Linked DNA regions of Oryzias latipes. The main gene of each other region encodes a partner of the protein of the gene in region 3 in a complex. Links are inferred from orthologs where the notes say so. Each region holds a gene or a part of one and is shown on either strand. Other genes may lie near its edges. The genes, in order: ral guanine nucleotide dissociation stimulator-like 2, mapkap1, kras, sos1 and rgl1.

Region 1 (3,895 bases), on a different chromosome or scaffold from region 3:
TAAACAGATGGGTAATAGAAAGGGGGGGGCAGGGCTAACTTCACGCCAACAGTATCGTCCACAACTCAGAGATTAATTTCTAATGAGCTCTTGCTGCTCTGCAGAAACTATGTCCTGGAAAGCGACAATTTAATTTCCTTATATTTTGGCAAAAAACTTCATAACCATAATGAAAAGACCATTGGGAACGCTTTGAAAACAGATCAAAAGATGATCGAAGTGGGACTTTATGACCATAAATAGACTTTTACGCTGAAAAATCCCTTGTGTGTTTGAAATACTTTTTCTATGGAATGAAACTCTATTAATTCATTATTTATGATGGGCTGGGGAAAGAAGGTGTACTTATTTAGGTTCTCCTTCTTTAAATGTGTAAAACTTTTCATTTTGTTTTTTTATTTTCCTTTTTTCTTTTCATGGGAAATTTTGTGGGAATTGAACTCCCTTTCTGGCACACAAAAGATGTTTTCATTCCATGTTTCCCGATCTGTAGTCACACTAAGGGAACTCTAACTCTAAGGGGCATTTATGATATACGAGCTGTGTGCAAACAAAGTGTTTGGCTCAGCTTTCGGCGTTATGTCAGAGCGATGACAGTGCAAACACACACACAGACTCTGGGTTTCTGTCTGCAGGGTATCTCTGGTCAAACTGTGGTTTGTTGGCTCACTGCTGGTTTCTCATTGGTTTCCTCGCCATTCCATCCTCATCCAACAGAGGAAGGAGCGTCTGTGTTTGTTCATGCAAACGCCTGTTCATGCGTGTGTTTGTGCTTCCAACAGGAGTGCAGAGCCAGGAAGAACTTCTCCTCGCTGTACGCCGTCGTTTCGGCGCTGAAGAGTAACCCCATCCACCGGCTGAGGAGAACGTGGCACGACACCGACAGGTGTGGGACGTAGTTCTGTCAAGTCAGAGAGGCAGAAGCAGACTAATCTAACAAATGAAAAAGCGAGAAACTGATGATCAATAGCTCTGCAGCGAGATGTTAGGACAGGGCGGTCCACTTGGAAATTGAGCTTTTTCTCTCATTCTTCAGGCCTCAGTTTGCATGTTAGCCAAATTCCCTTTAAATGTTTAAAGCTGAAACACTTCCAACAGCTGTTTCAGAATGGGGAGGACTTTGTTTTTCTTCCCAACTTCAGAGTCATGGGTTGATTTGGTTCAAAATTAATGAAAACAATTCCATAAAACAATAATCTAAGGTTCTTTTAATTCCATTTTAAGATCTGCCAAGTCTTTTATTCTGAAAATACAGCAAGATAACTTTTAAAATAAAAGATTAAAATCATAAATGGATCAAATAGAAGAAGGTAAAATTAATAATATTTTACATTTACTGATGAACTTTAAGAAACATTGTGTTATTCAGTCTTATTATTGTGTTACTTCTTACAGTAACTTAAGCTACAGATAAATGTCCTTTTAATATCTCAGTTAAATTTCAAATAAGTTAAACTGGGTTATTTAAAAGTATATTTTTCTAGTGATTAATGGTTATAATATATTAGTTTGCACATGCAGTGACATTGCATCATTTCGGCTGGAAAAAGTAGAAATACTTTCGTAAAAATTAAACAAATAAAAGAAATGCAAATAAAAATGTACTTTTTAATGTTTTTATTTTAAATTAAATAAGGTCAAACTGTTAAAAATGAATTGAAAAGGGGTTTTATTAATGTATTAGAGGAAAATTTCAAATGTGTCAAAAATCCGATTTTAAAATGGACTAAAAATAATTCAAAGTTAAAAGTATTTAATGACAGAAGGAGTTATAACAAAAGTTTTCCGTCCTTTTTTTCCATGTGAAAGTGTGATAGATTGATCCTTGCTATTGTACTTTTCATTTCTCCTGGTGCAGATCGCCTTTACGTCATCTGTACATCTAAACGAAGCGGGAATCTAATTGAACCCTTGACCTTTTCCTTCACAGAGAGGCCTTGAGGAGATACGAGGAGCTGGCAGAGATTTTCTCCGACAAGGACAACTACTCACAGACGCGGGAGCTGCTGAAGGAGGTGAGCTGTGCTGCAGATAAGGAAGGAGCGGAATGAATAGGGCTTTGTGTTTTCCGGGTGAGGTGAGCGGACGTGGGGCGACGTCACGAGGTCACGGGGCGTTCAGAGGTGAGCTGGTTCACTCGGAAAGCGGAGCTCACGTGCTTGAGGTTTGATGCCAGGCGTCCATGATGGTGTTTGTGCATCTCCTGTTATGGGACGGCGGGTGAAGTCATTCAGAGCCTCTGCTGGGAGGGGAAAGCTGCCAGTTTGAGCACCCTGACCGTGTTTGGGAGTCGGGTTTCAAAAGCTCTTTTGTTTTCTGACGTCTCTGCAGCTGTTGGCAGCTCGTGTGCCCCCTGCAGGGCTTCAACAGGCCTCAGAGATGCTTTCTCCTGATAAGCTGCAGATTCGTGTTTTGGGTTTTAACTCGCATAACTTGTGGTCAAGTCCACGTGGGAAACCGGCAGACAACCGTCTCCCACTATGTTTGCCAGTAAACGTTGCAAAGCCGCTGCAGGGAAAGCCAAGGACTCAACTAAGTCAACAGAAGTCTTCCTGCGGACGTTCTGTTTTCCTCATTTGTCAGTCCTGACTGAAGCTTTAGACCCCAAATCTCCTCCAAAGCCTTTCCCTGCAGGAACATCTGATCAGGTTCTGACAGCATGATCATCTCACCTGCAGTCGGAGTCATTTAAGACCTCAGCTGCTTGATCAGGAATCCGGTCGGTGCGTTAAAGGGCTTTAAAGAGCAGAAAACAGCTGATGCTCCGATTCTGTCAGCACTTTCACTTCCGCCAGACGTCCGTTTGAAGAAACGCTATATTTAGTCTGCTCTGACTTTGGGAAGCTGCTACGGTTAGTTTGATTAGCTGTGGTGGTGAAGTTTCACCCCCCCCAGAAGAGTCCATGCAAACGTTTACTGTCTTTTCTTCTGAAAAAGTCCACAGCTTTTGGGTGGAGCTTTGATTTCTCTGCTACATCTTTCATGTCTGAGCTTTTTTTTTTTAAAGTGGCAGACAGTTATGAACCGGATCCTTTGGGATGTAAAAAAAGAACAAAACTTGACTAAAAAAAACTTTGTGTGATCAAATCTGTAGAATATGGGGGGTGTCTGAGGTCAGTTAAGAGGAAAAAGAGACAAAAATGATCGACGGTGTGATGCATTTACTGACCTCTGCACATTTACATACAGTACACACAAACACACACGTCCACACACACCTAAACACACTCACATACGCACAAATGTACTTATCCACACACTTCTAAAGACACTTACATCCACACATATACACACTAACATACACACCCACATACACACTTATGTACGCACAAACACACACGTCCATGCACACCTAAACACTAGCACATACACACAAGCACACACTCAAGAAACAAAACATACACATTTACACACTCACCCATCCATCTATCCATCTTCTTCCGCTCATCCGGACCGGGTCTCAGTCTCAGTAAAGCTGCCCAGACTTCCCTCTCCCCAGCCACTTCCTCCAGCTCCTTTTTTTTTTTTTGGGGGGGGGGGGGGGGGGGGGGGCAAAACGTTCCCAGTCCCAGGCCAGCCAAGAGACGTAGTTTAAATCTGCAGTTCTGCTCTCGCAGTGAATGTGTGACTATGAATATCACTGACCAGGTGGGGCGGGTTGAAATGTTGCAGCAAATGTGTTTTTCCTTCTTCTGTCTTTTTTTATCTGCATTAACAGAGCTTCTTGCTCTTAAATCAGAACCAAAAAGCACTGATGGAGATCTTGAGATCAGATCAAACATGTTCCACTTTTATTGTGTGTCTTTCAGGAGGGAACATCGAAGTTCGCCAATCTTGACAACAGGCTTAACAACAGACACGTTACCCGGGTAAGAGCTGCTGAGGTTCTGCTTCA
Region 2 (4,653 bases), on a different chromosome or scaffold from region 3:
GGCTGGTTTTCAAAACATGTTGCCGCCCTGAAACCAACAGAGTGATCCTGAACTTTAGCTGAAGTGTTAATATTTACATGGTGTGTTTCCGGTTTCGTGTAGCTAAACCCAGAGCGAGGGCCCACAGCGAGATCCGCTGCTGACCGCAGATAGCTCCGCCCCCTCCCACCGACTGCTACGATGCTCTTCAGTGGACGCCTCGCAGAAAACCTTCCACTTTACAGGCTCCGATTCATTTGTTCTATGGTTTATAAGGGGGACGCAGACAAATGAGGAAAAAGAAATTCAGGAACAAAACACAGCGCAGAATAGGGATGCTTTAAAACTCATTTTACCACGTGGTTTCATCATTAAAGCGGATTGTGGAGAAAGCATTTTTGCATCCTCAAAGCAAACCATACTGTGGGGCTGAAAAGGTTCAAGCCAATGATAATTGTGTTTGGTTTTAACGTGTTCTTTTAACATTTCTCTGATGATTGAGGAAATGTATAGAGAACATTTAGCTCAAAACTGCATTTTTTTGTATTTCTTTATTCAAATTGTTGTGAATCAGGAGCAGACGAAAAAGTTCTGTTAGGTAATGTTTGCAATGTGGTTACATAAATATACTTTTATGTTTGTGTATATATATATCCAGACAAATACCAGTAGATCCAATTTTTTTACTGTAAGATTGGATAAAGGCACAGGCAGTGGGGGGCAATGCCCCCCTAAATACAGTGACTGCCCCCTAAATGTGATGGGCCACAAAAATCCACAAATAACTACAGGAATAAAAAAATAAAACAACTACAAGTCAAAAAAATGTAAGTATTTATGTATATGGAAGGACACACAGGCAAAGATACATAAAAAGAAAAAGGGTAGTGGTAGAGGGTGGTCTTCTTCAAACTGCTCCTGATTCCAAACAATTTGAATAAATAAACACTCAGAAATGCCATTTTAAGCTGAATTTTCATTATGGATGTCCTCTATCATCAGAAAAATGAGAACATGAACATGTCAAAAACATGTTCTTGTGGCAAAAAATAAGAATTTCACCAGAGTGGGTCTTTAAAGAGAGAGATGGAAATCTGTTGACAGGTTCCACAAGTGTAATGGAAAGATGGAAGAACTTTGAAGATCTCAAAAATATCCATGTAAATAGAAAAGGTTCTTGCAAATTTTTGCTGCGATAATTCTTTTTACTCATGATCGCACGATTTTGCAGCCACATTTCTATTTCATGTGATGATACTTTGAACTTGCAAAAGCATAATTTTATCTTGCTCTGGCATCTCTCTCTCTTTTTTAACTTTTCTTTATTTTTTCACTTTCTAGTGTGAAGTGCATTTGGATGTGTGCACAACATTTTGTAAACGCTGAAATACTAGTAAGGAATAAAGGTGCATATAATTCAGTGTTCCTTTACTTTCACTGCCTCGGTCAGTGAACTGCTCTTGTGCGTGTTTTTCGTTTGGTGGCTCTTTTATTGTGAAGAGATTACACCGGAAGTCAAAAGGATGTCTTCCTGGTTGCACGAGCGCAGCAGATTGCATTGGCTTTCGGTTGTTTTGAGACTTTAATGCATTGAATTGTTTTTCACGGATGTAACGACTCGTCGGCCAAATAAGTAGACTGGATGAGATGGAGGGACGTGGACTCTGCTGTGTCTCGTCAGAAAAACGTAGAGGTGGGATCTTCTTTCTGTTCATACCACTGCTATTGCTAACTGACTCGGGAGAGATAATCGTTAGCTTGAGTTTAGTCACCGCTAACCGACTGTAATGCGATCTGTAAGCTGTTCCTGTCATGTTACACGCTTATAAAGTATGAATCACTTCAGTCTGTAGATCCTCCTGCTACTTTTTGGAGCAGCTGAAATGGATTTTGTTGTAATTCAGCTGGTTTAAGTGAGCCATTTTGGTTAGGAAAACAAGGTGCTGCTAACGCAAAACATGATGATGATCTGATAAATGTACACAGAACTTTTTAATCCGATTGTTTAACTTCTACCTTCTTAAAATGATAAACTCCGACACAAATTTGTATTTACTGACATGTGGTGTTTGTTTCAGTTGTGTCGTGTGTTTTACACGAGCGTGTTTTTCCTGTGAGAACTTTCCCCAGATAAGACTGTGTCCTCAGCTGAAATGACCGTCAGACATCATTTACAGCTGTTACAGTGGGAACTGTTACGTCATCACAGTGATTTCTGTGCTCATAATCCGTTTTCTTGATGGTGAAGTGTTCTTCTCAGCTGCCCATGCGCTCAGCGCCGTCATCTGCCTGTTGTAGCTGTCAACATCCGTGTTTAGACTAAACACTGTGAACAAACTTCGTGTTTTCAGATGTGACACGACTTCTGATTCTTCAAAAAAAAAAAAGTTAGCGTTGTGCCCAAACACTAAAAAACACTGGCATTTGTCTGATGATAGAGGACATATATAAAGAAAATTAGGCTCAAAACTGTATTTCTGAGTATTTCTGTGTTCACGTAGTTGTGAATCAGGAGCAGACAAAGAAATGCTGTTAGAAAAAGCTTGTTGTAACTGAAGCTACTGCAGAAAGCCACAAGCTTCCTGCCCCTCCTCATTCTAATGCATCCACTCATGGACAACTTGTTCCATGTACATCTTTGTTTTCCCTGTCTGAGCTGGAATCTGGATCAAAACTGTATGGCTGGACAGCGCCAATATTGCTCACCATTTTTATCGCAGTGCTCATGTTAAGGCCCGTACACACCGGGACGAATATTCGCCAGGCGTTATTCGCCAGCGTTTTTCGCCACGTTTTTTGTGTTCACACCCAGGCGATTTCCACTGACGATGAGCCGAGCGAACATGCAATTTCCTTCCCTGACATTAGATGGCGCTTAATGTAAACAGAAATACTCCTGTACACAAGGTGGCGCTGCGCAACTTTACGCTTATTAAAGTCGCTTTTCACTCAGAAGAAGAGAGCAAGTATTTACGCGCTTGTCAGAATCAAACAAAGAAAACATGAATATTTCAAGCACCAGTTGCTCCAACTGGTGCTTGGTTCGGGGATATTTTAGAATGTCCGTCATTATTTCTTCGCAGCAGTGTAGACGCTACTTGGCGTCTATCTTCTTCGCTGGTATGTGTGCTCAGCAAGGCAGTTTTGTGTTTGAGCGCCCCCAAGTTGTGTTTTACTGTAACTTCAGAAGCTCCAGACATGTGTGCAAAAGCGCCATTCTCATTGGTCGAATAGATTTCGACGCGACGCGTCGAAAAAAAAAAAACGAACCCGAGGCGTTTTTTTTTTTGACGCTTTGACGCCTGGCGTTTTTTCGCGTCGGTGTGCACACTCCCATTGGTGCCCTTTGTTTAGTCACGAGGCGTTAAACGTCGGCGAAAATCGCCAGCGAAATTCGTCCCGGTGTGAACGGGCCTTTAGGTTGGCGTTGTTAGAGGCTCTAAGCTAGTTGGAGAGACTGTAAACAGATTGGTGACGGGAAGTGGTGGTGGGCTAGCTATGTGCCACTGGTCAACTCAGAGAATCTCTAATGAACTCCTGCTGCTCTGCAGAAACCATGCCATAGAAAACTACACATAAAACAGCATAAACATAAAGAAAGACTTCTGAGAATGCTTTTTGCAATAGATCAAAAGATGATAGGAGCGGGACTTCAACATCAATATTGAAAATAACCAAAAAAACATGGTTCAAATACATTTTGGCAATTGACTGTATAAGAGAACTGGACTTGCCGACCCCTCCCCCTGGTGTTCCTAACAGGAAGTACGCGCTGGCCCCAAGAAGCCAAAATCCTATAGACTTCTATATAGAAATAAACAGCTGTTAATCAGTCATTCTGTTGGTCAGAATAACCATTCTTGCTCCGATACCTTTTTTGAACATGTTCTTGATAATCCTATTTTTTCTAATAATATTTTTTCTTTAGTACAAGCTAATCATGTTATAAACTGACCAATCATGGGTCTCAATAAAAGCGTGTGGCCTCATGTTCAAAGATTGATTAACAGATTTTGTGCAGTCCGCTTTAAGTGGTAGGGGTGTGGCCTTTCAACAAGCTCTCTCTGGATTTGTGAGAGTGGTTGCCATAACAATGTTGACTCTGATTGTCTTAGACCAATCACTCCTTGCTAACATTGTCTGACTCCCAACCTGGCGACGTCCACATTGCAAAAAATGGTGACTGAAGTTACTTCAATTGGTTGGAACCAGAAGTAAGCCAATTTTCTGTGAGTGACGTCACACTTACTCTGTCCAGTTCTCATATTCAGTCAATGAGTTGGATTGACCCACGCATTTCATAGTTCTAAACAAAAAGAAAATCTATATTCACAAACATTTTTCAAAACAAAACAAATATGTTCTAGTTGTCTGTCTGATCGTTTTTCTGGTTGTTTTCCTTTTTACAGGGCCTTTTACATCTTCATCAGTGGACGTGATGGAATAGTAAAGGGCTGAAAATGAAAAACTTGCCCCACTAGCTGCCAAGGTGCGCCGAACAGAAAGTGAGGCCCACGTTATGTGTCCAGGCTCCACGGTGACAAAAAGCTTTACTCTGTCTCACTGAGAACACAGGACATGGCTTTTTTGGACAATCCTGCAATCATTTTGGCCCACATCAGGCAGTCTCATGTGACCAGCGACGACACAGGAATGTGTGAGATGGTCCTCATA
Region 3 (4,564 bases):
GCTCCGGTGCTAATGCGGCTAACAGCACAGCCGTTAGTCTTATGCTAGCAGGTTTTCCTCATACGGGATAAGGATTTAATTGACATTTTAATGTAACATTTTTTTTTAATTTAGACATAACGTGGCTGTCCCGACCTGCTTCAACAAAACCAAAATACACAAAAGTTTAGTTGAAAAGCCGCGTCCGCTTCATACGGGTATCAATCTTTAACGCTAGGCTAATATTTGTATAGGTGCTAATCAATCTCCATTAATCCCATCATTGTGTTAGCGGTGAATTTGAGTGCTTTTTCTTTCCGCGTTGGGTTTGAATTAAATATACCCCTAACAAAAGATTGTACACAATTTTGTGACTTCCCAGGATGGGATTTCAGAATCCACAGCGTTTGATTTGTCTTCCTGTTCAAACACAAACCTTCAAAGGACAAACACTACTATCGACTGCTTTTGCCTCCTTTAAACTAAGGAAGAAAAATGGCATAACCCATACCCCCTCTACTTTAAATATAAAAATATAAAATAAATACAATAATTAGTTAACAAAAAAAAGCCTAATTTATTTCTTAAAAGTTTCTAAAATGAAACTTACATTTTCCTCTAATTTATAGCTAGTTTCACAAAGTTTGAACCGGCTTTAAAAACGTGGTGTTCCTACATAGCTTTCCTTTTTTTTTTTTTTGACTCTTTCAGCCACGGTAATCTTAGTTGTGGAAGCAGTATTTAGTGCATCTCTTCTATGGCTTTGAGGAGTTTGTATTGTAGTCTTTGAAAAGGCCAGCTGCCAGTATTGATAGATGCTGCTCCACAAAAGTCAGACAGCAGAGAGCCTCCCTGTTGCTTGTCAATTTTACAGCCTTAATGTAATGTCATAGATTTCTGCCTGGAGCTAGGTTCTGTTGTCTGATTATCACTCAGAAAATAGCCCTGAATGTGTTGCTGGACTCAGACCTTTGATTTGAACTGAAAAACTATCTATTTTTTACTTCTCAAAGCTCACCACCTGCTTATTTCAGGTCACTTTTCTATAGAAGTTCTGTTTTGTTTTACCTTTTTCTATAATGATGAGTTTTAATATACATGCTTAGCATTTTATGACAGCTAGTCTTTAAATTTAAGGTTCATATGTTGGTTTTGTTTAGATTAAACAACAAACTGTATTTTGTGATTGCATTTTTTCAAACTTTCTGGGACATTTGGATTTTTACTGCATTGCAGCTGTCAATTTACAGGTTTCCTTTAGCAAGAGATGATCAGATGACTGTCCCCTAAAACTGTCTGCAAATTATTAGAAGTATGAGAAAAGAAACCAAAATTGACAATAACAATGAAACCAAGTGTCATAATTTTGAGACGTGCATCATTTGCCATTAAGGGTTCCGCTGAATTGGGGATGTACTACTTGATGATGTTCTTACTTTGGTCCCTCAGGTGAATCATGACGGAATATAAGCTGGTTGTGGTTGGAGCTGGTGGTGTTGGCAAGAGCGCGCTTACCATTCAGCTCATCCAAAACCATTTTGTGGATGAATATGACCCCACCATTGAGGTAAAGGAACATTGTGTATGGATACACAAATTGACAGTGCATTAGCAATAAAACTTGTGTAAAAAAAAGAAAAAGCAAAGAGTTGTAACAGGTTCTACTAGTTTAACTATTAAAAGACACCAAACGGGTTTTCTAATGGCTTCACACTTGGCTTCTTGCACAGTTTCTTAGAGCCAACTGATTTAGTATGAACAGTTTAATTTAGAGTTCTTTTAATTTGAATTATTTTTATTGACATGCATTTTTTAGGTCAGACAAACTCCATGTTAACTCGGATAAAAAGAGCAGCGCTACTGTTCTTTTTATCCAGGTTAACATGGAGTTTGTCTGACCTAAAAAATGCATGTCAATAAAAATAATTCAAATTAAAAGAACTCTAAATTAAACTGTTCATACTAAATCACTCCATGTTAACTCCATGTTAACCTCGATAAAAAGAACAGTAGCGCTGCTCTTTTTAGCTATTTTCATCTGTGCGATTTAAAAAAAAAAAGAAAAGTGAAGCACCGAGTGGGACTTCAGTGTAACTTGAGGCCTGCTGCAAAATTGATCAGAAAGGGACAATAATTGAGTGGAGTCCAGTTTCAACTTTGAAGACACGACAAAATAATCATCAATGCAGGCCTGCTTAAGTGGTACAATTATGTTAAGATTCTAAGCTACATGACAATCATTTCAGCAGAAAAAACTATGAATTATGAAACAAAGCCATTGAGTTTCTTAAACTATGTCACATTTTTTGTATATTCAATTTTATTCACATTTAAATTCTTGGCCATTTTTTCTCCCTTCAACATAGTGAAAAGGGAAAAATTGCACTGGTGTTTTTTTTTCCTACTAAAAAGAAAAGATTTTTAGAACTTTGTAGTTACTTCCTTGTTCGCCTTTTATCCAAATTATGTCAGACCAAAACATTTTTGCCTTTTTTGTTTGTAATTTTTTTTCTTCAAATAAAATGTATTACTACTGACTGACTATTTATATCTTTATTTCACCATCTAAAATTAAAAGTGATCACTTTTGCCTAGTATTGTGAAACTACATTTGAATATACTTGTATATTTATCATCACTTCTGTTTTTTTATAAATATTTGGTGACTCCCCAGTTTGTGTACATTTTTGCAAAATGGCGAAACAATTTTTATATTCTAAAGTACTCTAAGCATAAAAACAACTTTTTTTTGTTTACTTGACTCACTTTTCTACAGAGTTCTGATCATTTGAAACTTATTTCTTGTTCAGGACTCCTACAGAAAACAGGTAGTAATTGATGGAGAGACGTGTCTGCTGGACATCCTGGACACTGCAGGTCAGGAGGAGTACAGCGCCATGAGGGATCAGTACATGAGGACAGGGGAAGGCTTCCTCTGTGTTTTTGCTATCAACAACACCAAGTCTTTTGAAGACATTCACCACTATAGGTGAGCTGAAAGACAAGCTGGCAGGCAGTAGTCTTCCAGAACTGTTGTCATTTTTTTCTTCAAAATAAAAATGTGTCCATTTGTAAGTAATTATTTTAGCACAAAAATAAAACATTCATCACCGAACAAAGGTGATCTGTGGTCTGATTTGAATCTATTTATGTGTGGAATTTGGAATAATTTGGTTGATGGTTAAACAAAGTTCATGTGTTTGACTGTCCAGAGAACAGATTAAGCGGGTGAAGGACTCTGAGGACGTCCCCATGGTGTTGGTGGGAAACAAGTGTGACCTCCCGACCCGGACGGTGGACACCAAGCAGGCTCAGGACTTGGCACGCAGCTTTGGCATTCCCTTTATTGAAACCTCTGCCAAAACCAGACAGGTAAGTCTGCCCTCGGCTCCATGCAACATGTTTTTTTTAAATAATAAAATGTTATTTCAGAAAAAAAACTAGGATATTGTAATTTAGAAAAGTGTCTTTTAAAAATTTCGAATGAATTGAAGATAAGTGATTGAATCACGTTTCTGCTGATTTGTGTCACATTCACTGTCTCTAATGGCCCTTTTTATCATAATGTTGGAGGGAAATGTCCCTGCTAATGTATTGAGCCTCATTAAATCATCTCTCTTTAATTGAATTTTTATTTATGTGAGGTAAGGTAATCACTGCATGCTGCTACGTCATGAAATGACGAATTGACATTGTCAGTTGGGCCCACCTGAAACCATCCTTGTAAATAATCTGCAAATCGGTTCAAATCAGGGGTCTGCATGAAAGGGCAAACTGTCAGTAATTTCTGAGAGGTTTGATTCTTCAGCGAGCTGGTCACTGTTTGTGGGTGTTGGAAGATTAGCTGTGGTGTTGCATCCTGTGGTGGGTGTCGTGATCGTTGCCTTTGCCATTAGATGGGCTCATGGAGTGATCTGTGAACGTGTTCATCCTGGTCTGTGAGCTGCAGCCAAACAGCACTTTTTCTGGTGTGGGGAAATGATTGGTGCCGTGACTAATTCCTGGCAGCTTTGTTCACCTATTCCCTCTTGAGTGTCCCGTACCTTTTGTTCATACGGTTTCGCTCCTGTCTGATTGCAACTTTACTTTTGTTGGGAGTCAATTGCCCCCCCCTCAAATGTTTATTTTTTTTCCTCTGACTTCTGTGGAAAATCCTGAATGCATGCACCCTTAATTTGTGTCCAGTTTGAATAAAGTGATATTCCACCCAGTTGTTAATCTCCTGCAGGCTTGGAATGTGACTCTGATTTTTAAGGAGGCGCCAACTGCAGCCTAAACACAATAACTGTGTTTATTTTACTGCTTTATCAACCAACTGCTGTCTGTTACACTGCATCATCATTCCCATATCAGTCTGTTGATCCACTTTAAGACATGATCTGTGTAGTGTTACTCAATAGGATGAAAAATAGCTGTTTTTCGGAGTGCTAAGCAATAGAATAAAGTTGTCTTTGTTGTGAGTTCATGTCAGTTCTTTATGGTATCTCTAAAACTATAAGGCCCTTCATATCAATCGTTTGATTTATTTTTGACAGCATACTTCTACTTTTGTGTGAAAAGGCAAATCCCACAGAGCTGTGGATTT
Region 4 (4,515 bases), on a different chromosome or scaffold from region 3:
CTGGCTTGCAACCCCTGTGGCTAGATTGAGGCCGACTCTAAGATGATGTCACGAAATGGGCGGCACCCACAAGGAGTGAAAGGCGGAGCCTCAGAGATTGAGTTGTCTTTCTTCTGGATTGGAAAATAACTAACATTTCATAAAATATAGTTCTTTATTGTGCCAAAGGTAATATATGATGATATGGATCTAGTTTACTCTGAACAGCTTCAGAAAAGCAGGACAAGGCCTTTTGAAAAAGTACGTTTCTCCGGAGTAACTTTTTAAGTGTCCAGACTTTCGTCTGGTTTTTTGTCCTTGCTCTGATCTTCTCTCTCGTCTGTCTTCAGGCATTTTCTGCACCATCTCCTTATGTACCTATGCGGCCAGCGTGACCTATGACCTCTCCAGAAACCCCCCCTTCATCTACGGTCTGCCTGGAGATGTGGATCATGGGTACGGTTGGTCCATCTACTTCGCCTGGACAAGTCTGGGTCTGACCGTGGCTGCCGGCTGCCTTGCTACCACCTTCCCCTTCCTGAACCGGGCCCGAGCTCTGAGGTCCAAAACTGCACGGGAATCTTCTGTGTGAGCTGTTGGTGATCAGCAGGACACCGGACTCCGAGACGTGGTCCAGACTGGGCTGCAGAGGTTTTATTTACACTGGCTTCTGGACTCTTGCTGAGGGAGAACCTCAAGAGGACTCATACCTCTGCTGCAAAGCTTCTGTGGAGCATGGCGCCCCCTTCTGGGTGTCTTCGATAGGAACAGTGTTTGTAGTGTCAGAGGAACCGCCGTCCGACCCGGCTTGGACGGGTCTTACAGTGTCTGTTAGCCAGTGACCGTTTCTCATTGTGAAATTATGTATTTTGGCTGACCCCCCCCCCCTGCGGTTTTTACACAGGTGTGATCACAGGTGAAGATCTGGTGAGTTTGAATCTTGAGGGGCGGGTTCAGGTCCGATGATGGAGCCTCCTCTCTGACTGCATGGAGGCGCAGTTTTTGGCTCCAGATGAGCCCAGATCCATTTCAGCCCCCCCATCAGGCCACAGACAGGTGGGAGACACATGGGGGGGGGGGGGGGGTCGTGATCCCCATGTCCGGTCCATTGAAAAGTCAGCAGAACTTAGATGTGTCCAAACCTTTTTCACTCAACAGCACCAGATTTTTGTAAAGGTGATCAAGACACCTCCTTAGTGCAGGTAAGAAGGTCCGAACAGGGCCCCCCATACCACTTAACCTGACCCCCACCCACACACCACTTGACCCCCCCCCATTTGTAAATAAAATACTTGAAGCCCACCTGATCTCAGAGTGGTTTCTTCTCATTGGTACGGAGTCCCTCAGTTGGTTCTGGTTCTGAGTGTTGAATCTTCAAATCAGACTCCACTCTGGAACTTTGAAGCTAATGGGGGCGGAGGGGGGTTGTTACGACCCCCCCGACCCAGATCAAGGTCAGTCCTGGTTCCGGTTCTGTTTCTAACCTTCAAAAACGTACATCAGGACAGAGTTTATTATTTGAGTTCTGACCTGCACGTGCTCCTATGTTCCGGTGGTCCGATTCCCATCAGATCAGTTTGATTCTCCGCTCTACAGCAGCCCCGCCCCTGAACGTCAGCAACTACCCACTGCGCATGCTCACTATCTCGCCATGTTCGGTTCGGTCCTCCGGAGCGCTGCAGCCGTCAGCAGGTGACCGTCCGACCTTCCGGTTCGGATCCTGGTTGAGACAGACCGGGTGTCACGCGGCCCCCACCCGCAGGCGCCGCACTGGAGCCCCCCCCCCCAGCCGCAACGGTGACATGACAGCCGCGGCGCGCCGTTTGCTCCGCTGACCCCCCCCTCCGCGCCCAGTAACCGACGCAGAGACCCCCTCCCTCCCGCCGCCGGCGAGCCTGTGCTGGGAGCGCGCAGCCCGGGAGCGCGCAGCAAGCCATGCCCTCCGCCCGGTCCAGCTAGCTCCTAGCCGCGGAGCTAACGGTTAGCCGAGGATGGTGGCGGCGGTCCCGGCGGATCCCGGACGTCGTGAGGCCCCCGGCTTCAGCCGCGCAGCTGGACCCGCAAAGCCGCGCACAGAATTCACGCCAAACGGAGCCGCGTGCGTGTGAGCATGCAGACGGGCCAGCTGCAGTTCGATTTCTGCAGCGAGGACAACGCTCCGCGGTGGAGAGGCCTGCTGGTGCCCTCCCTGGAGAAGGTAGGTGCGCACGCACGCACGCACGCACGTAGGCGGCTGCTGCAGCCAGGTGTGGCCCTGCAGGTAAGCCGGGCCGTTCCGTGACAGGACGGCTGACGTCAGATGGGGGCAGCGGGGTCTGCCTGCTCCCCGGAGGCTACAGGTTCTGGACTCTTCCAGCTCACCTGGACCACTTCAGTCCCGATCCGACCTGAACCACTTCAGTCCCGATCGGACCTGGACCACTTCAGTCCCGATCCGACCTGGACCACTTCAGTCCCGATCCGACCTGGACCACTTCAGTCCCGATCCGACCTGGACCACTTCAGTCCCGATCCGACCTGGACCACTTCAGTCCCGATCCGACCTGGACTGATGTGGTTCTCTTGTGATTTAGAAGATCAACACTCTGCAAATCTGTTCCTCACTGTCCCAGAGTTCTTTGTTGGACCTCCAAAGTTGTGGGTTGGACCGGGTAGAAGCGCTCCAGGTGGCTGACCTCTGACCCTCTGGATCCATGTTTCATAAGTTCTGCTCACCATCAGAACCTCTGACCGCTGTCATCAGGCCCGCGTCCTGAGAGATCCATTTAATGATGGCAGAGTCCAGCTGGTAGGCAGAAACTACAACAGGAACTCAAAGAATGATGACAGGTTTCTGACCCACAACACGGTCTACCACCATGTGGACCTGGTTTGTAACGCTCATGGTTTCTGTGTTGGTTCTGGTTCTACTGCCAGCGGTGCATCAGGTGGAAATGTGGGAGGTTGGATGGACTGAGGTCTCCTGGGTTCAGATGATGTTCTATTGGGTCAGGACAGATGTTTGGACTCCTGCATGTATTAATTTAATGGGATTTAAAACCCAAAAGGTTAAATTATGATTAAACGACTTTAAAACTGGACTAAAATAACTGTTTGTGATCATCAGCTGTGGTTCTGGACGGGAACATTTCCAGAGAAGGTCTTCTTAGCTGCATGAAAGGAGCAGCAGGTCTGGTCTTTACCTGGTTCCTGTGGGACCAGCATGCAGACCTGAACCCGGTGTAGAGTCTGACCGTCGCCCATAAGTGGGTTTCGGCCTGTTGGTGAACATAAATTAAAAAAAAGAAACACAGAAGAAGCTAAAACCAACAGAAACTCAGAGAGAAAGGTGTCTTTCTGTCCTCCTCCACTGGGGGGCAGCACATATCCATGAGGCCTGTGTTTCTGCTTGTTCTGATCAAACCTGCTCTGTCATTTCGTTTTGTTTAATTATTGATCAAACGTTGTGTGTGTGGCTGCACGCTGCAGGTACTGAACCAGGTACACCCCAACCTGAAGTCCCAGCAGGAGGCGCTGCAGTACATCGAAGAGCTGATCCTGCTGCTGCTCAGCATGTTGTGTCAGGCCCAGCCTCGCACAGTGCAGGACGTGGAGGTGACGCACACGTGCACACATGCACAGATACACGCATGCACACATACACAGATACACACATGCACAGAAATACATGTGCACACAAACACACGTGCACACCTGCACCCATCCACACGTGCACACGTTTGCCGTGGCCACATGCATGTTCCACCAACAAGCCCTTGAAATCTCCACCAATGATTCAGACCTACAGGCTTAGGGATGCTGAAACCTGGAAACAAACCCTCTTACCTTTAGTCACCTAAGTGAGGTCAAGCCTGCAGGTCAGGTCACTTGGTCCTCACACCTTCTGTCGGTTGTCTTAGGAGAGGGTCCAGAAGAGTTTTCCTTATCCTATCGACAAGTGGGCGATTGCAGATGCTCAGGCGGCCATCGAGAAAAGGAAGAGAAGGAACCCTCTGTCTCTGCCGGTTGATAAGATCCATCCCCTGCTGAAGGTAACCGTCCTGTCAGTGTTTTCTCCATCCTCCGCTCTTGTCCATGTTTATCAGTAACTCTGACTCTCAGACAGAATCGTCTTCAGGAAGAAGCTTTGCTGTTGGCTTCCACAGAGTAGAAAGTTTGGGGAAGCGGGCCGCGGTTTGGAGCACTGAAAAGATCTCAGGACTTTTGCATCTCTCTGTCTCCCATCATGCATTGTGTTCAGGAGGTTCTGGGCTATAAGATTGAGCACCAGGTGTCCGTGTACATGGTAGCTGTGTTGGAGTACATCTCTGCTGACATCCTAAAACTTGCAGGAAACTATGTAAGAAATATCCGCCACTATGACATCACCAAGCAGGACATCACTGTGGCCATGTGTGCGGACAAGGTACATTCTAACCCCCCACGCCGTTCTAGAAACACCTGACGAACGCTGAGAATACTTTGAGACTCCTGAAAATGTGTGTTTGTGTGTGTTGGTATGTGTGTGATTGTATGTGTGTTTTATGTGTGTCTGTG
Region 5 (4,350 bases), on a different chromosome or scaffold from region 3:
GAAAAGAAGGCCTTCCTTTGGTGGTTTCATCCAGCTTCTTCCTGTTGTTCAGCCTGGAAACGTGTGCGTTCAGTCAGCAGACTGCCGATAAGCACACGACTCAGCACTCCGCCCTGAACTGTGGACTTGGGATGGAAGCTCAGCAGAATTCTGCAGGTTGCAGAGCAACACCCACTCCACGTTTGTGTGGGCCAATAAAGTAAATGATGCAAGAAGATGAGGACTGTCAGATTTGACAAAGACCAGGAGTTTGGGAGCTGCTCTTGCAAATAAAAACCTCATAAGGAAGGTTTATGTGAGCCCAACAGTTTTGTTTACTCTGGTTTCTCTTATATAACTTTTATGGAAGGCCTTTACTCCATATAATCACCTTGTTGACCCCTCAGAAAACAACTTCAAGTCAGCACAGTAAAAACAGGCACAAGGCGGGACCGGCGGAGCTGCTGCACGTTAACTAAATGTCCAGAGTGTGTGTTGGTGGGGGGGACAATGGCAGGAAATGGTGCTGTGAGATGGGCTGAGGCTCCGACCCGGCTGTCTGATGGGCAGCGAGGAGGACGACCATCCAGACCCGAACCCACGTCACAGTGTGACAGTGATCCCATGTTTCAGAAGAACAGTCGCAGTGGTGCTGGCTGAATCTGGGTCTGGCTGGACAACCCTGGTCCTCAAGAGCCTCTACCCTGCTTGTTTTCCTCTTTTCCCTGACTAGCTTGCTGCTGATTGGCTTACTCAAGAAGTTTCACATCCTGATTGACTGAACTCACCTGGTTTAGGTTTTTAGCAGCAAGCAGTGCAGGGAGAGCTGGAAAAAAGGCAAAGATGTGGCTCTTGAGGACCAGAGTTGGCCAACCCTGAGTGGCGGCATGTCATCCTGCAACATCTCAGGTATGGAAGAGTTCAAAGCTTTCTGTCTCACACATTAGGGCTACAAAATGTGCGTAATGAAATGCGGCAGTGCACAGAGGAAGATTAAAAGCAGGACAAACGGTGGGAAGTTGACCCAAGCGTTCAGTAGAGACTGGTCATTTGATGTCCAACATTTCATTTTTGTCTAAATCCATGCAGCTTGTCGTCTAACTGCTTCAGAGGTCGGAACTGTTTATACTAAAGTATGATCGGAAAACATGCTGAGGAAAATGGAGATAGAAGTAACTTTGCCAGTACAGGGCCACTGCGATTTTGAAGCCAGATTCGAACCAAAGACATGAGATGAGCCAGCAGGAGCTCCGTCTACAGACATTCTGAACCTGATCAAGAAAACCTTTGAGGCAAAGAAACGTTGACCTTCAAAACCACAAGTACTGAGACAGAAAATGTTCATGTCGACCATCATTTTTGATTGAACAAAAAGAGAAAACTCAGATGTTTTCACGCCTCAAAATCCAATCACTCCCCACTCTTCATCAGTCTTTGATCTGATTAGAGTCTTCCAGCAAACACACTGAAGTTGCAGAAAACCAGCTTTATGTTTTTGCAGGGAGGAAAAGCGTGGAAATGGCCGACGATTTTCCTTTATGGACATTAATCCTTTTACGTTAGAGCCACAAGTGAGCATGCATAAAGGGACATAAACAGCAACACTGACGCTTCAAGTGTTACACAAGCCACCCTTTGTGTGAACTCTAGTCAGACAGCACACACACAAAGGTTACTGTAAGTCTTTGACTCATCACTTGCTCAAGACTTCATTGAGGGTGTAAAGATCGTTTTTTTAATAATGTTCATTCCTCACAAAAATCAACCTCAAAGCAGTATTTTTGATCCATTCACGCATTTCTGAGTATGCCTCTAAAATCCTGGTCTCTGAGCACCAGCCCCTCCCAATCCACAAAAACAAGCGGGTTCTCACATTGTGATGTCACAAAGTGAAGAACAGCCCCTACCAGGAAGAGTCTGCGCTGCCAGCCCCGCCTCTAGGCTAACACACACCCAACCTCTTTCTCCGTGGAGCTAGCGGTGATCAGTTAAACGCTTTAATTTTCTATGCACAATATGCACATACGTCTTTGCAAAAGTTCAGATTTGTTTGTTTTTGTGGGCGAAACGCAGACACGCTGCTGAGGCCGGCTTTGGTATGATGTCATGAAATGGGCTGAATCCACAAGGAGCGAGAGGCGGAGCTTCAGAGATCGAGTCGTCTTACTTCTGGGTAGGACAATGAGCTGGGAAAATAATTAATACTTTATAAAAAAAATGTTTCTAGCCAAAGTATTACATTATCACATCTATAGATATAGTTTACTCTGAAAGACCTATGAAAAGAATTACCTGTAGACCCTTTCACACTAAAACCAAAAAAAAATCACAGCTGACTGACTGAACAGGTTTCTCTTTGTTTCGCAGCAGTTTGTTCATTTCTGAGATTCTTCTCATGTCAAACTGATTCTGTTTCTTCTCTCTGACCCTCTCTTTCATGTTATCTGTGAGAACAGCCAACAAACTGACCTTGAAGGGGGGCGACCAACGCCCCCCCATCATTCCTCCTCGCTGCGTATCTGTAAAGGGTTTATCATTTCCAGCTTCTTTTGGCATTCTGTTTTTCTTTTCGCAAAACCTTTCATTTCAGACACAGCGATGATGAAAACCAGAACACCTGCCAGGTTCTGTAAAGATTCTGGAAGCTCAGCGGCTCCATGACATGCAGTACTGACCCAGTGCTGTGGGCTGCTCTCCGGGTAGCGGGGCTGGAAGCTCTGCAGGGCAACCCCCCCCTCCCCCTCCAGCAGTAAAGTGCAGTCCAGGTCGGGGTGGGCTTGGTGGTGCTGGGGGCTTGCAGCCCAGGGCAGGAGGGTGGCCAGAGGGTACTGGGAGATCATGCTGGCTGCCTGCGTCAGAGGCTGGGGAGGGGGAACGCCATGCTCCAATCTGGATTTCAGTTCAGATGTCTTCTGTTGGTCTTCCAGTCAGATGTTGTGGTCCTCCTGTCTTCTCAAAAACATGCCCCCCCCCTCCTCCCTCTGTCCTCTCAGAAAGCCTGGAGATCAGCTCTCCAGCAGCCCTGAAGCAGGAGTGATTTCAGCCTATTGTCTGTCTTCCTCTCCTCACATCCATCACAGGCAGAGGGGGAGGAGCTACAAGTGGGCGGCAAACGCCCCACTTTAAAGGGTGACCAAGGAGAAGGGCAAGAAGAAAGAAAGAAAGAAAGACAGGAAGGCTGATAAACCTGAAGGGATGTCGCTGGAGAGCTTCGAAGAATTACATAAAAAAAGCAGGTTTTCTCTATCAATCATTGGGGGAAGATTTGGGCCAAAAAAAGAAAACTTTTTAAAAATAATCTAAAGACAAAACAAAAAACAGTCTTAGAACAGGATTGTCTTCAGCCTGTGTGAGTTTTGGACGTGTTCAGGCTGAGTTCACAGCATTTATGAACTTTGTCGCATGCAGTTTACTGCGATTCTGAATTAAATCAGTCAAAAAGACATGAGATCCTTTTGTTTTCCTATAGCAGCACAAAGATCAAAAAGCATAAAACTGTTTATTGTGCTGAAGGTCAGTTAGTGTGGGTGTGTGTGTGTGTGTTAAACATCATATAGCAGTCTGAAAAGAGGCTTCAGTGTTTTTCTGCTGGCTTCTTATTCACCAAATAAAACAGGATGTTGACTTCTTTTGCAGGATTTTTTTAACTGTAATAAGCAACTTTTGTCGCAGCGTGTTCAAAATTAACTGCTGTGTGTGTGTGTGTGTGTGTGTGTGTGTGTGTGGAGTGGGTGTGTGTGTCTTCTAAGGAGAAGTCACGTATAAAACTAAGAGAAGAGGATTACCCGGAGGCAGGCAGTGCTTCACTCAAACACAACCAGAAAAAGACACAAGTTTCCTTCCCATTACAATTTTGTTTTAGAAACAAGTAATTTCAGAAATAATCAACCCAAACACCAAAAAGTTTAGATTTATTTAGTCTGGATGAAAATGTATAAAACTATCCAGAACTGACTGATAGATGTAAAGATTTAGTTTCAGATCTCAGAGGGAACGGGAAATTCTCTCTCGTTATTCAGGTGGAAGTATGAAAATAGCAAAGAGGAAAGAAAAACTACTCTGTTTGTTTAAAAAGTATTTTATGATTGAGGGACAATCAGCTGTACACATGGTAACTTAAAATTTTAGTAACAACTGTGCTTACGGGCTCTCTGCGGATGTGAAAGAGTCAAACCTGCTGGGGGGCAGGTAGGTGGTCCGCAGGAAATATCAAGGTGGTGGACCGCTCTGCCAACCCGTAGGAAGATAATGTTCATGCACATTTTTCTATGGGCATGCTGTGGGTGACGCAGGTGAGTCGTACCAATTTTTCTTTTTCATTTAACCCCCTTGAACCCTGTGTAAGGAGCCTGCTGGTGCTATGCACATAGG

Evidence for each region.
Region 1: the proteins of kras (region 3) and ral guanine nucleotide dissociation stimulator-like 2 are in contact, whole or in part, in a crystal structure (PDB 8B69), measured with the Homo sapiens proteins. The link is inferred for Oryzias latipes from reciprocal best matches to the Homo sapiens genes KRAS and RGL2. Residues at the interface, in NP_001356715.1 of Homo sapiens: Ile24, Gln25, His27, Val29, Glu31, Asp33, Pro34, Thr35, Ile36, Glu37, Asp38, Ser39, Tyr40, Arg41, Lys42, Tyr64; in NP_004752.1 of Homo sapiens: Ile651, Arg653, Glu660, Asp661, Gly662, Ser663, Val664, Tyr665, Lys666, Ser667, Ile668, Leu669, Lys685, Lys686, Asn688, Arg689.
Region 2: the proteins of kras (region 3) and mapkap1 are in contact, whole or in part, in a crystal structure (PDB 7LC1), measured with the Homo sapiens proteins. The link is inferred for Oryzias latipes from reciprocal best matches to the Homo sapiens genes KRAS and MAPKAP1. Residues at the interface, in NP_001356715.1 of Homo sapiens: Ile21, His27, Val29, Glu31, Asp33, Pro34, Ile36, Glu37, Asp38, Ser39, Tyr40, Arg41, Leu56, Glu62, Glu63, Tyr64, Ser65, Ala66, Met67, Asp69, Gln70; in NP_001006618.1 of Homo sapiens: Phe280, His287, Gly288, Phe289, Ser290, Leu291, Ile292, Gln293, Lys307, Lys310, Arg311, Arg312, Lys313, Gly314, Ser315, Phe363, Glu365, Ile369, Val374, Met377, Leu378, Ser380, His381, Tyr484, Glu487, Ser488.
Region 4: the proteins of kras (region 3) and sos1 are in contact, whole or in part, in a crystal structure (PDB 8BE4), measured with the Homo sapiens proteins. The link is inferred for Oryzias latipes from reciprocal best matches to the Homo sapiens genes KRAS and SOS1. Residues at the interface, in NP_001356715.1 of Homo sapiens: Ser17, Ala18, Ile21, Gln25, Asp30, Glu31, Tyr32, Pro34, Thr35, Glu37, Tyr40, Asp54, Ile55, Leu56, Asp57, Thr58, Ala59, Gly60, Gln61, Glu63, Tyr64, Ser65, Ala66, Met67, Arg68, Asp69, Gln70, Tyr71, Arg73, His95; in NP_005624.2 of Homo sapiens: Lys602, Trp809, Thr810, Lys814, Leu822, Met824, Ile825, Arg826, Thr828, Thr829, Thr832, Leu833, Leu872, Val875, Ser876, Asn879, Ser880, Ser881, Pro882, Tyr884, Ser908, Asp910, His911, Tyr912, Lys913, Phe929, Phe930, Gly931, Ile932, Leu934.
Region 5: the proteins of kras (region 3) and rgl1 are in contact, whole or in part, in a crystal structure (PDB 7SCX), measured with the Homo sapiens proteins. The link is inferred for Oryzias latipes from reciprocal best matches to the Homo sapiens genes KRAS and RGL1. Residues at the interface, in NP_001356715.1 of Homo sapiens: Ile24, Gln25, Glu31, Asp33, Pro34, Thr35, Ile36, Glu37, Asp38, Ser39, Tyr40, Arg41, Leu56, Tyr64, Met67; in NP_001284600.1 of Homo sapiens: Ile651, Arg653, Asn660, Gly661, Asn662, Met663, Tyr664, Lys665, Ser666, Ile667, Met668, Lys685, Asn687.

What each region holds. Positions count from the first base shown.
Region 1 is NC_019874.2:28,742,341-28,746,235, reverse strand, and holds part of ral guanine nucleotide dissociation stimulator-like 2, read left to right. Parts: intron 1-782; coding exon 783-886; intron 887-1,930; coding exon 1,931-2,015; intron 2,016-3,809; coding exon 3,810-3,869; intron 3,870-3,895. UniProt on the Homo sapiens protein: Probable guanine nucleotide exchange factor. Putative effector of Ras and/or Rap. Associates with the GTP-bound form of Rap 1A and H-Ras in vitro.
Region 2 is NC_019870.2:25,040,391-25,045,043, forward strand, and holds the start of mapkap1 (target of rapamycin complex 2 subunit MAPKAP1), read left to right. Parts: upstream 1-1,486; 5' UTR 1,487-1,672; intron 1,673-4,388; 5' UTR 4,389-4,557; coding exon 4,558-4,653. UniProt on the Homo sapiens protein: Component of the mechanistic target of rapamycin complex 2 (mTORC2), which transduces signals from growth factors to pathways involved in proliferation, cytoskeletal organization, lipogenesis and anabolic output.
Region 3 is NC_019864.2:21,725,194-21,729,757, forward strand, and holds the start of kras (GTPase KRas), read left to right. Parts: upstream 1-1,435; coding exon 1,436-1,546; intron 1,547-2,789; coding exon 2,790-2,968; intron 2,969-3,191; coding exon 3,192-3,351; intron 3,352-4,564. UniProt on the Homo sapiens protein: Ras proteins bind GDP/GTP and possess intrinsic GTPase activity. Plays an important role in the regulation of cell proliferation.
Region 4 is NC_019859.2:117,195-121,709, reverse strand, and holds the start of sos1 (son of sevenless homolog 1), read left to right. Parts: upstream 1-1,634; 5' UTR 1,635-2,089; coding exon 2,090-2,176; intron 2,177-3,447; coding exon 3,448-3,573; intron 3,574-3,878; coding exon 3,879-4,010; intron 4,011-4,219; coding exon 4,220-4,384; intron 4,385-4,515. Other genes in the region: tmem178a (transmembrane protein 178A), read left to right, coding at 330-571.
Region 5 is NC_019862.2:29,177,764-29,182,113, forward strand, and holds the start of rgl1 (ral guanine nucleotide dissociation stimulator-like 1), read right to left. Parts: upstream 3,026-4,350; 5' UTR 2,820-3,025; coding exon 2,655-2,819; intron 1-2,654. UniProt on the Homo sapiens protein: Probable guanine nucleotide exchange factor.